Kluyveromyces lactis: one gene and its partner. The protein of the gene in region 1 interacts with the protein of each later gene in a pairwise test. Links are inferred from orthologs where the notes say so. Each region holds a gene or a part of one and is shown on either strand. Other genes may lie near its edges.

Region 1 (4,465 bases):
CGTTACAGTCTCCATCACTGAAGAAAGAGACGTGGGTTACTAGTTCCTTGGCATGTTTCTTGAAATAAGTGTTCCCCGCTTGAGGATCTGTTATTTTTAAAATATCAAATGAACAGCTGTATAATTTTTTGTCAGCTAAGATCAAGATCGATTGGAATTCTTCTAACACAGAGAGTTGTGAGATGTTACTCTTTGTCAGAAGCTTTGTAGGAGCCCCGAATATTATAGAGTTTTCTGCTCTTCTAATGTTACTGTAAAATAGGCCTTGCGAGGTGGCGATTATTAACTTCCGTCCGCCATCACAAGATGCAACGCTGTTAATCTTATTGGAGTAATCAAAATACCTATCACTAATTTTGCAAACGTTAAAGATATCGTTTTCTTTGATAATCCTAGCTTGTTCCTGCTTTATCTTCTCAAGAAGCGTTTGCATTGCTGCGAACTGTGCTGCGTATAACGTTACTTGGTATTTGTTTTTAGCACCATAATACGTGAAAGAGATAGCATTTCTGGGATTCGTGCCAGCGATTGCATCAGGATAAATAACCATACCTTGACTATCCGGTTTACCGCAAATATGTCTCTTTAAACTTGGCATTTCTTCACCAGGAGCGGCAAATAACAACGGGAGAGGTATAGGCCGCTGGAAAACTTTATGTTGATTCCATTTATTGACTGCTTTTGACTTCAAAAATAATAACATATTGTCCAGTAGATAAAATTGAAGGTCACCTGTAACACCATTTTCATTCTTGGTAATTTCTTTTCTTGATAGAAGGCCTTCATGCTTGATCTTCCGTTTATCATCATTCAATCCCATGTTGACATACTCATTCTTGAAAAGAATCTTTTGCTTCAACAATTTAACATCATGTCTGTCCTGAGCAGCACCACTAGCCTTATCAATACGTTTCATAAATGCACGAAGGGCTTCTAGGGCCCTTGTTAAATTCTCCAAGTCCCTCTTTTCAGTTTCAGGGTCGGTAGACTTCATTATTTCTCTAACAAGTAGGACATAACGACCTGGCCTAGAAACACCTTGAGACAAAAAGGAATCAATCCCATGTCTTAACTTAGAGTTCATCAGGTCATCATCAAACCGAGCGAAATATGGGTTAACGGACCTCTGAGTTTCGATCAAATATTTAGCATACGGCCTGGATGCCACATACATAACAAAAGGTTCAAAAAATGGAACGAAACGTAGTAAAATATCACCAATTCCATCGACTATCGGAGATGCTTTTTGTCTTTCTGACAAAGCGTCTAGGAGCCGTCTGTTTACGGAATATATGTCATTAACATGGGCGAAAACATGTTTGATAAAATTTTTGCGTATATCGGCAGGAATGATGTTAGTTTCAGCTAGTTTCTTCATAAATGTATCTCTAAGAATCTCAAGGGATTTGACAAATTTCTTTTCTGTGCTGTAGACTTCGTAAATAGCTTCCTGTCTTTTAATCTCACGTTTGGTAAGTGAACTCCAGAGTTCTTCTGGAACAGAACTTGTCCATGATGATTTTTCTTCATCGTCATCATCAATTGCCATAGAAATATTTCTTTTTAATCCACCATTTGGCTTTAAATTCAAACGAGCTTGTTGTTCGAGTCGCTTTGGACATGAAATAGAATAACATAACCTGTTTCTAGTACAAGTTGGAGAGTAACATTCTGCTAACAATGTGAATACACCGTTCACTTGATGATAAGAGTCTAGATCCTCCGGTTTCTCCATCAGAGACAGACTAGATTCGGATTTGGAAGGTGCGATGGTAGTGCTGGATTGGGAAGCAGAGAAATTGTTAGTAGAACCGATCTCATATATGCCTTTACCGATAACTCTGGAATTGCCTGTAAATTCGTAAACTTCGTTAGGGGAATCACGAAGCCTGTGTTCATAAATCACATCGTGGAAGAGTTTTTGAGCATCAAGTGCTCTCCCCAATAACAAAGCTAAATTACGATCATTTGTCCTTATTATTGAGCAGATGACATCAATGGCTTGTTGACCAGTAAATGCGTCTCTGTAAACTAGTCCATCTTTTTTGTGTTCGCACAATGTGATTGACTTTCTGAAAGCTGTCGCAACTCTCGATAGCATTGCGGGATACACCTGGGGTCTCCTAATAGAACTTGATACCACTATATGCTTTGTGTGTAATGAGCTGGTGGATGTTCTACGTATATGCCTCGACATAGCTGATTCGGTGGACAACGATGCAGAAGATGCTCTTTGTTTGATGCCCAGACCTAGCGTTGAATCAAGCAATGGGTTCGTTGAGTGATCGTACTTTTGCGGAATGGTTCGACCACCAACGGTTTTAGTTTTCCCATGCAAAGAAGAAGTAAAGTTTTTGAAAGTAGAAGAACTTATAGACTGAGTCCTTCCGAAAATGTGATCAGATGATGAGTTATTATTGTAATTATTCGACGAAAGGTTTGCATCCGCTTGCAAATATTTCGAGCTAGATCTTGAAAATAGTCCAAATCCTTGCAGCGGAGATTTTTTGGCACTGAATGATCCCCGTGAATTAAGATTACTAATGTTGTTGCTATAGTTGTTGCTGCTGTTGTTGTTAATTTGTCCTGTAGTTGAAAGTTTTGGTAAAGACGGCTTTGAATTGAAATTTTCACTCTTTGACCTTCTCGGTGATTCATGAATCATGTCCATGGCGGGCGGCGCTGGTCTACCATGATGATGATGCGACATAGGTCGCTGCTTAGGTAAAGAAAGATCCTCTGGTGGATACGCCTGTGGAGAAGTCGACTCTGGAGGAGTCACAATATCATCCTCCGTGTCCATACTTGGAACGTCACTTATTTGACGAACATGGACAGGACTTCTGAAAACACTCCTTTCAGTCCCAGTTTTGTTTTCTGAGATCTGACCTCTATTTTGCAGTAAATCGTTCTCTACATCTTCATTGAGCACAGCCTTTAAACTCATCATATCTAAAGAATCTGGCAGTTCTCTCGGTACATTACTTGGGGGAGGCGACAAAGGCCGCTCAATACCAAAAATCTGGGTGAACAATTGCCTCCTGGAGTCTTGTTCCATATCATTGGAGGAAAAACTCATTGTCTCGCTTTAGAAAGAACAAAAAGACACTTAATGCAAAAATCCTGTTCTAAGCTTCTCTTAGGTCAACCAAAAGCAAAAAGAAAGACACTAATCCCAGAAATGAAAGGAATAATGGAATACTCAAGTTTGAAAGGATATTGGAACTGGAATAACAGACAACCTCAACCAAAATAAAAATACAATAATAAAGGAAAACTGAAACCAAAACGAAAACCGAACAGAGTTTGTAATTGCGCCTTATGAAATTATTCCCGTTCACACACACCAAACGTACTCTCTCAGATTACTGTACACCACCCTAAGTTTCCAATCTGCCGTTCCGGTATCGAAATAACACTTTCTTAGCCCAAATCTCTGTGTCAACAAAACCTTCAATCAAGCCTTGCTCCTTATTATTTATCAGGTTTCCGTTATTTTCTTTCAAATGATCAAATCAAATCAAATTCTCAACTTACGAAACATCGGTGCATGAAGTTGAGATTTGGGACATCATCATAGTGCGGAAAACAAGCAAAAAATATGGAAAAAAAAATAGCAGTGAAAATAGAAATTTACGTCCGGTAATTTGTGTATAACCTTGCTGTTCCAGATCCTGTCACTAGCCTCAATCAGATGGTTATCGTGACTATTGGCACAGTGGCTTCTGTATGCGTATTTTTATTTTTTATTGTATTATGTAATTTTTTGAAGTCAGGGGAAGCTGAATCTGTATTACATGAGTCACGTGATTGCTACTTTTGGGATGGTATCAAAAGACTAGTTGATTAGGCCTCGATAATTCCGGACCCTCCTCTATCTTCCCTTTGCTATACCTACTTGATGCTTTAGATCATCACTAATACATCACCAAGTGATCGAATCAACTGTTGTAACTTCTGTTAGTGAAACCCCTTTTCTCTGCCTAAAACTGAAAAGCTACTTCAATATGAAAACTAAACTATGAAATAACATATGTGGTAAAATATATGATTAGGTAGCTAAAGTACGTCTGAATTAAAATCGCAGGAGTATCAAATCGGGTGATAATCTCGTCAGACCTTAATACAAACACATAATGCCAGCTTTCCATTCTACTTTTCTAGCGGACCCAGCTACTGATCGTTTCGTGGGTAACTTTGCACTACTTCCATTGAATACGAAATATAGAGGACCAGCTTACCAGTCCAATTCAGACTACGATATTATCGATGAATGTCTAGATCTTTTCCGTGCCAATTCCTTCTTTAAGAACTTTGAGATCAAATCCCCAGCTGATAGAATATTAATCTACGGCATTCTATTCATAAACGACTGTTTGGCAAATTTGAATTTATCGACTAGTTATAACGAAGCTGTTAAGAAATTAATGAATCTAGGTTTAGATAGCTTTGCTATCCCAGGCAC
Region 2 (3,697 bases), on another chromosome or scaffold:
AAGAACGAATAACAGATTCCATGTTTTTTCAATCCAAAATGAAGACGGTTAAGTGTGTGCAAGGGAAACCAATAAAAGAAGCTTTCTCACTCGCAAAGATATAGCCACTTCTAACAGGTAGAATCTTTTTAAATTTTTCTCTTCAGTGACGAAAGTGAAACCTGGTGTATCAAAGAATATTTTACTCTAGATTAGAGAAGCACTGAACCAAAACCAAAGGTGTATCTTAAGTTAAACCTGAAGCTCATCTCTTATTATATAATTATGAAAACATATCATATTATATCTTTTTTTGAGTTTTCAGTCATTTTTTCCTCAGTCATTTTCATTTTCAGGCAATATGAGAGGATTTTACCTTTGAAATGATTCCGACATTGCCAGTTCCGCAGAAGATATTGTAGGAAGACAGGGAAGGGAAAAGGGAAAAAAAGAAATGCTGGACTTAGGAGCTTTTCTTTTTGGAGGTTTTCAGCCAATAAGAGTAGAGGATGATGTGAGCGAAGCGAAGAGCTGTGGCAGTAATGCTGGCCCTGGCCCTGGACCTGGCAGTTGAAGCTGGGGATTGGCCTGGATGAGCATGGTTCGCTTAGCGGGAGCAAGTCCGAGTTTAAGCTATGTTGGTGTCGCTTCGCGACACCAACCACCGCCAGAAATTTAACTTCTAGAGAATACCAATAACTAACTACTCTAACCAAATCTTATTATTACATATCATTACAATGAAGCTAGCTACGCAGGACAGTAAAAATAAAACCGCAAGGTCACATTTTCCTCAAGGCCTCGATGGCTTTCGGATGGCCAAGACGAGCAGCAGTTTCGTGGTGTACCTTGGCCTCTTGTATGTTTGGCTGACATCCAAGGCCTTTCTCCAAGTAAAATGCTAATGCATACTCTGCTCTTGGTAATTTCCCGTCAGATAATTTCGAAGCACGTGACACCCACTTGAAGGCCTCTACGTCGTTCGGTTTCAATATCCCCTCAGCACCGGTAAGGTACCAGCCACTAAGTGCTACCATGGCTAACGGGTTTGGTTTGGTCTTGTTCATGGAACTCTTTGCGTACCATGCAATGGACTTCTTGGGTATTACAGGTAGTCCCATCTCCCCAAATTCATAAAAATGACCCAATTTGTATTGGGCTTGAGAATAATCGAAGTCATGGGCGCATCTATAATAGTATTTGATCGATTTTTCCTTATCTTGAGTGATTCCGTTTCTCAGAAGCTCTTGTCTAACGGATTCGTCTAACTCTTCAAATCCGTAAATCTTACCCAACTCAACCATCGCTTGTGGCGATACTGATTCCAGTTCTACATGAGCCTTATCGTCTCGTGGGATTTCGATCTCCTTGGTAGCCATTCTAAACCAGTATAAAGCTTGTACAGGGTCTCTTTTGATAACGATTTCACCAGATTTCGTTCTCAGTCCTTTCAAATAGAACATCCCGAGCTTGTACATGGATACAGAATGTCCATTGGTCAAAGCTGCCATTTCATAGTACTTCTGTGAAATCTTTAAAGCTTCGTATTCACTCACAGTTGTGTAATCTACTCCACGTCCGTACTCGTAGCTGACACTGGTCCGATACATGGCATCCTTATGACCCATATCGGCTGCTCTGCGATAGTAGTCTAGAGCTTTTGCATCATTCTTAGACACGATATCCATGGGCCTTGGAATATCTACGTAAGGGTGGTGGGAATAAAGTGTCCCTAATAGGTAGATCGCTGGTGAATAGTTTAACTGAGTTAGTTTCGTTAACACGCGTAACGCATGCTCTAAAATGGTCCTTTTATTCTGTAGCATTTCGGTCTCAGTTAAATCCCGTTTCAACTTTTCAGCATTGATATTGTATCTGATTAAGAAAGTGGGCTTGAACGCATATTGCAACAGTGTCTCGCACCATTTCAACTGGATATCCTTCGTAAACTTGTTTGCGTCCTTGACGGTTCTGTCATATGCTTCATAAAACGCGACAGCCTCGGAAGAGTAATTTGAAAGATCCCGTTCACTCTTAGCACTGCTAGGCGGGTTATCCACTTTGGGTATGCTGACTTGCTGCGCCGGTGGTGGTTGTCGTGATACTGGCGTCGTTACCGTTGACTGGGAGCTTTGTCTTGTATCTTTCTCATACATTTGGTATGGAATATTCGTATCTGCAACATGATTCTGGGGCAGATCATCAACCGGATATGGTGTATTCTTACTTGGCTCGTGACCTGGCGGGTACATGTTTATGTAGTTGCCATACGCGTTTCTTTGTCGGTTGTTATCCATTCTATTTCTCTCAAGAGAACGATTTACCAATGTCCTATCCTTTCTACGAATTTCTTCCGTGCAAACGCTTTCGAATCCAATACTACTTGCAGAGCAACTCACTTACCCACAGACTCAAGCTGATACCAGAGGGCAGTGTTTCCAGAAGCCTAGTTGAAATGCTTAACGGCCACTGTATTTTTGTTGCAACTCATCGTTTCAGATTAATTCAATTTACCATTATTTTACTGATTTTCAGAGTATCGGATTCTGTCGCCTTTTTTTCATTTCTACTGCGACAGTACATATGAATCGCAGAAAGCGACTTTTAAATATAGAACGGATAAATAAATGTACATATTGTGTCAGTTTAATATGTTCAAGACAAACTAGGAATGCATTTCCAGAGACTTGCTATAGTTTCACTGTTTAAAAAGTCACTTAGGTCAAGAATTTCCAAGTACCTTCTGATTTTATGATTAAATACTGACGCTTCCCAAATATTCCATATTTTTCAATTATTTTTCGGTTTGGAAAAAGTTGTGTCTGTAGGAAAACTGATTGACAAACTAAGATTATAAGATGAGATGATGCTAAAAGCGTTGACAAGTAAGCAGCAATTGAGATCTTCATTAAGCTAACCTAGGTAGCTGTCAAGTAATATAAACTCCCGTTGAATTGATATTTTAATATTCAGAGCGCAAACATGGTGTGGCCATTTTCTAAGAGTAAAACGCAAGAAGCAAGTACCGAGGTGGAAAGGAGTATATCAGAGGAACAGCAATTAACGAATTATGCTAAAGGACAGAAGTTTCTATTTGAGGATACAAAACCCAAATTCAATAATGAGTCCAGTAGTATGGCTGCTCGAGAGCAGGAACGTGCGTCTTTGAAAGAGGCATGGAATACGATAGACGTGAAAGATTTCAGTGTCGAAAAGGTACTGTCAATTCCATGTTTCAGAGACGCAGGGATCGGAGGGTTTACATCGATGTTTGTTGTCGGATCAGTGATGTTCTTGTACCATAAGAATCCTGCTCGTGCGGCAAATTGGGGTGTAGGAGGTTTCATACTTGGATCCATTGTAGGATGGGAGCAATGTCGCATGCGTCGTAGACGAAGCTTCCAAGTGGCAGCAATGGCCAAACAGACTGTTGCAGCAAAGGAGAAACCAATGCTGAAACAGGTTAAGAATATAGATACAGTCAAGAAGGAATGGGAAGAGGGCTCTAGAAACAGTAAACCTTGGTACAAATTTTGGTAGGTGCAAGACATGATATTGACTTACCACCACGTGACCTCGTATCTTTTTTACCCAACATAAGACGTCGTAGGCAATATTTTAGGCATGTAGAGTGAGAATGAATAATTCTTGATTCCTGGCACAATAGTACAGGACATCATTTAATGACATATACCGTTTATAATACCACTGCATACAC

What was found.
Region 2: the proteins of ROM2 (region 1) and ACK1 interact in binary tests that used the Saccharomyces cerevisiae proteins (3 or more experiments, as listed by UniProt). The link is inferred for Kluyveromyces lactis from reciprocal best matches to the Saccharomyces cerevisiae genes ROM2 and ACK1.

Annotation. Positions count from the first base shown.
Region 1 is NC_006038.1:683,565-688,029, forward strand, and holds the start of ROM2 (Rho family guanine nucleotide exchange factor ROM2), read right to left. Parts: upstream 3,080-4,465; coding exon 1-3,079. Other genes in the region: ARC18 (Arc18p), read left to right, coding at 4,137-4,465. UniProt on the Saccharomyces cerevisiae protein: Stimulates the exchange of RHO1 GDP-bound form into GTP-bound form.
Region 2 is NC_006039.1:1,307,875-1,311,571, reverse strand, and holds ACK1 (Ack1p), read right to left. Parts: upstream 2,277-3,697; coding exon 762-2,276; downstream 1-761. Other genes in the region: HEM1 (5-aminolevulinate synthase), read right to left, coding at 1-22; COX20 (Cox20p), read left to right, coding at 2,962-3,519.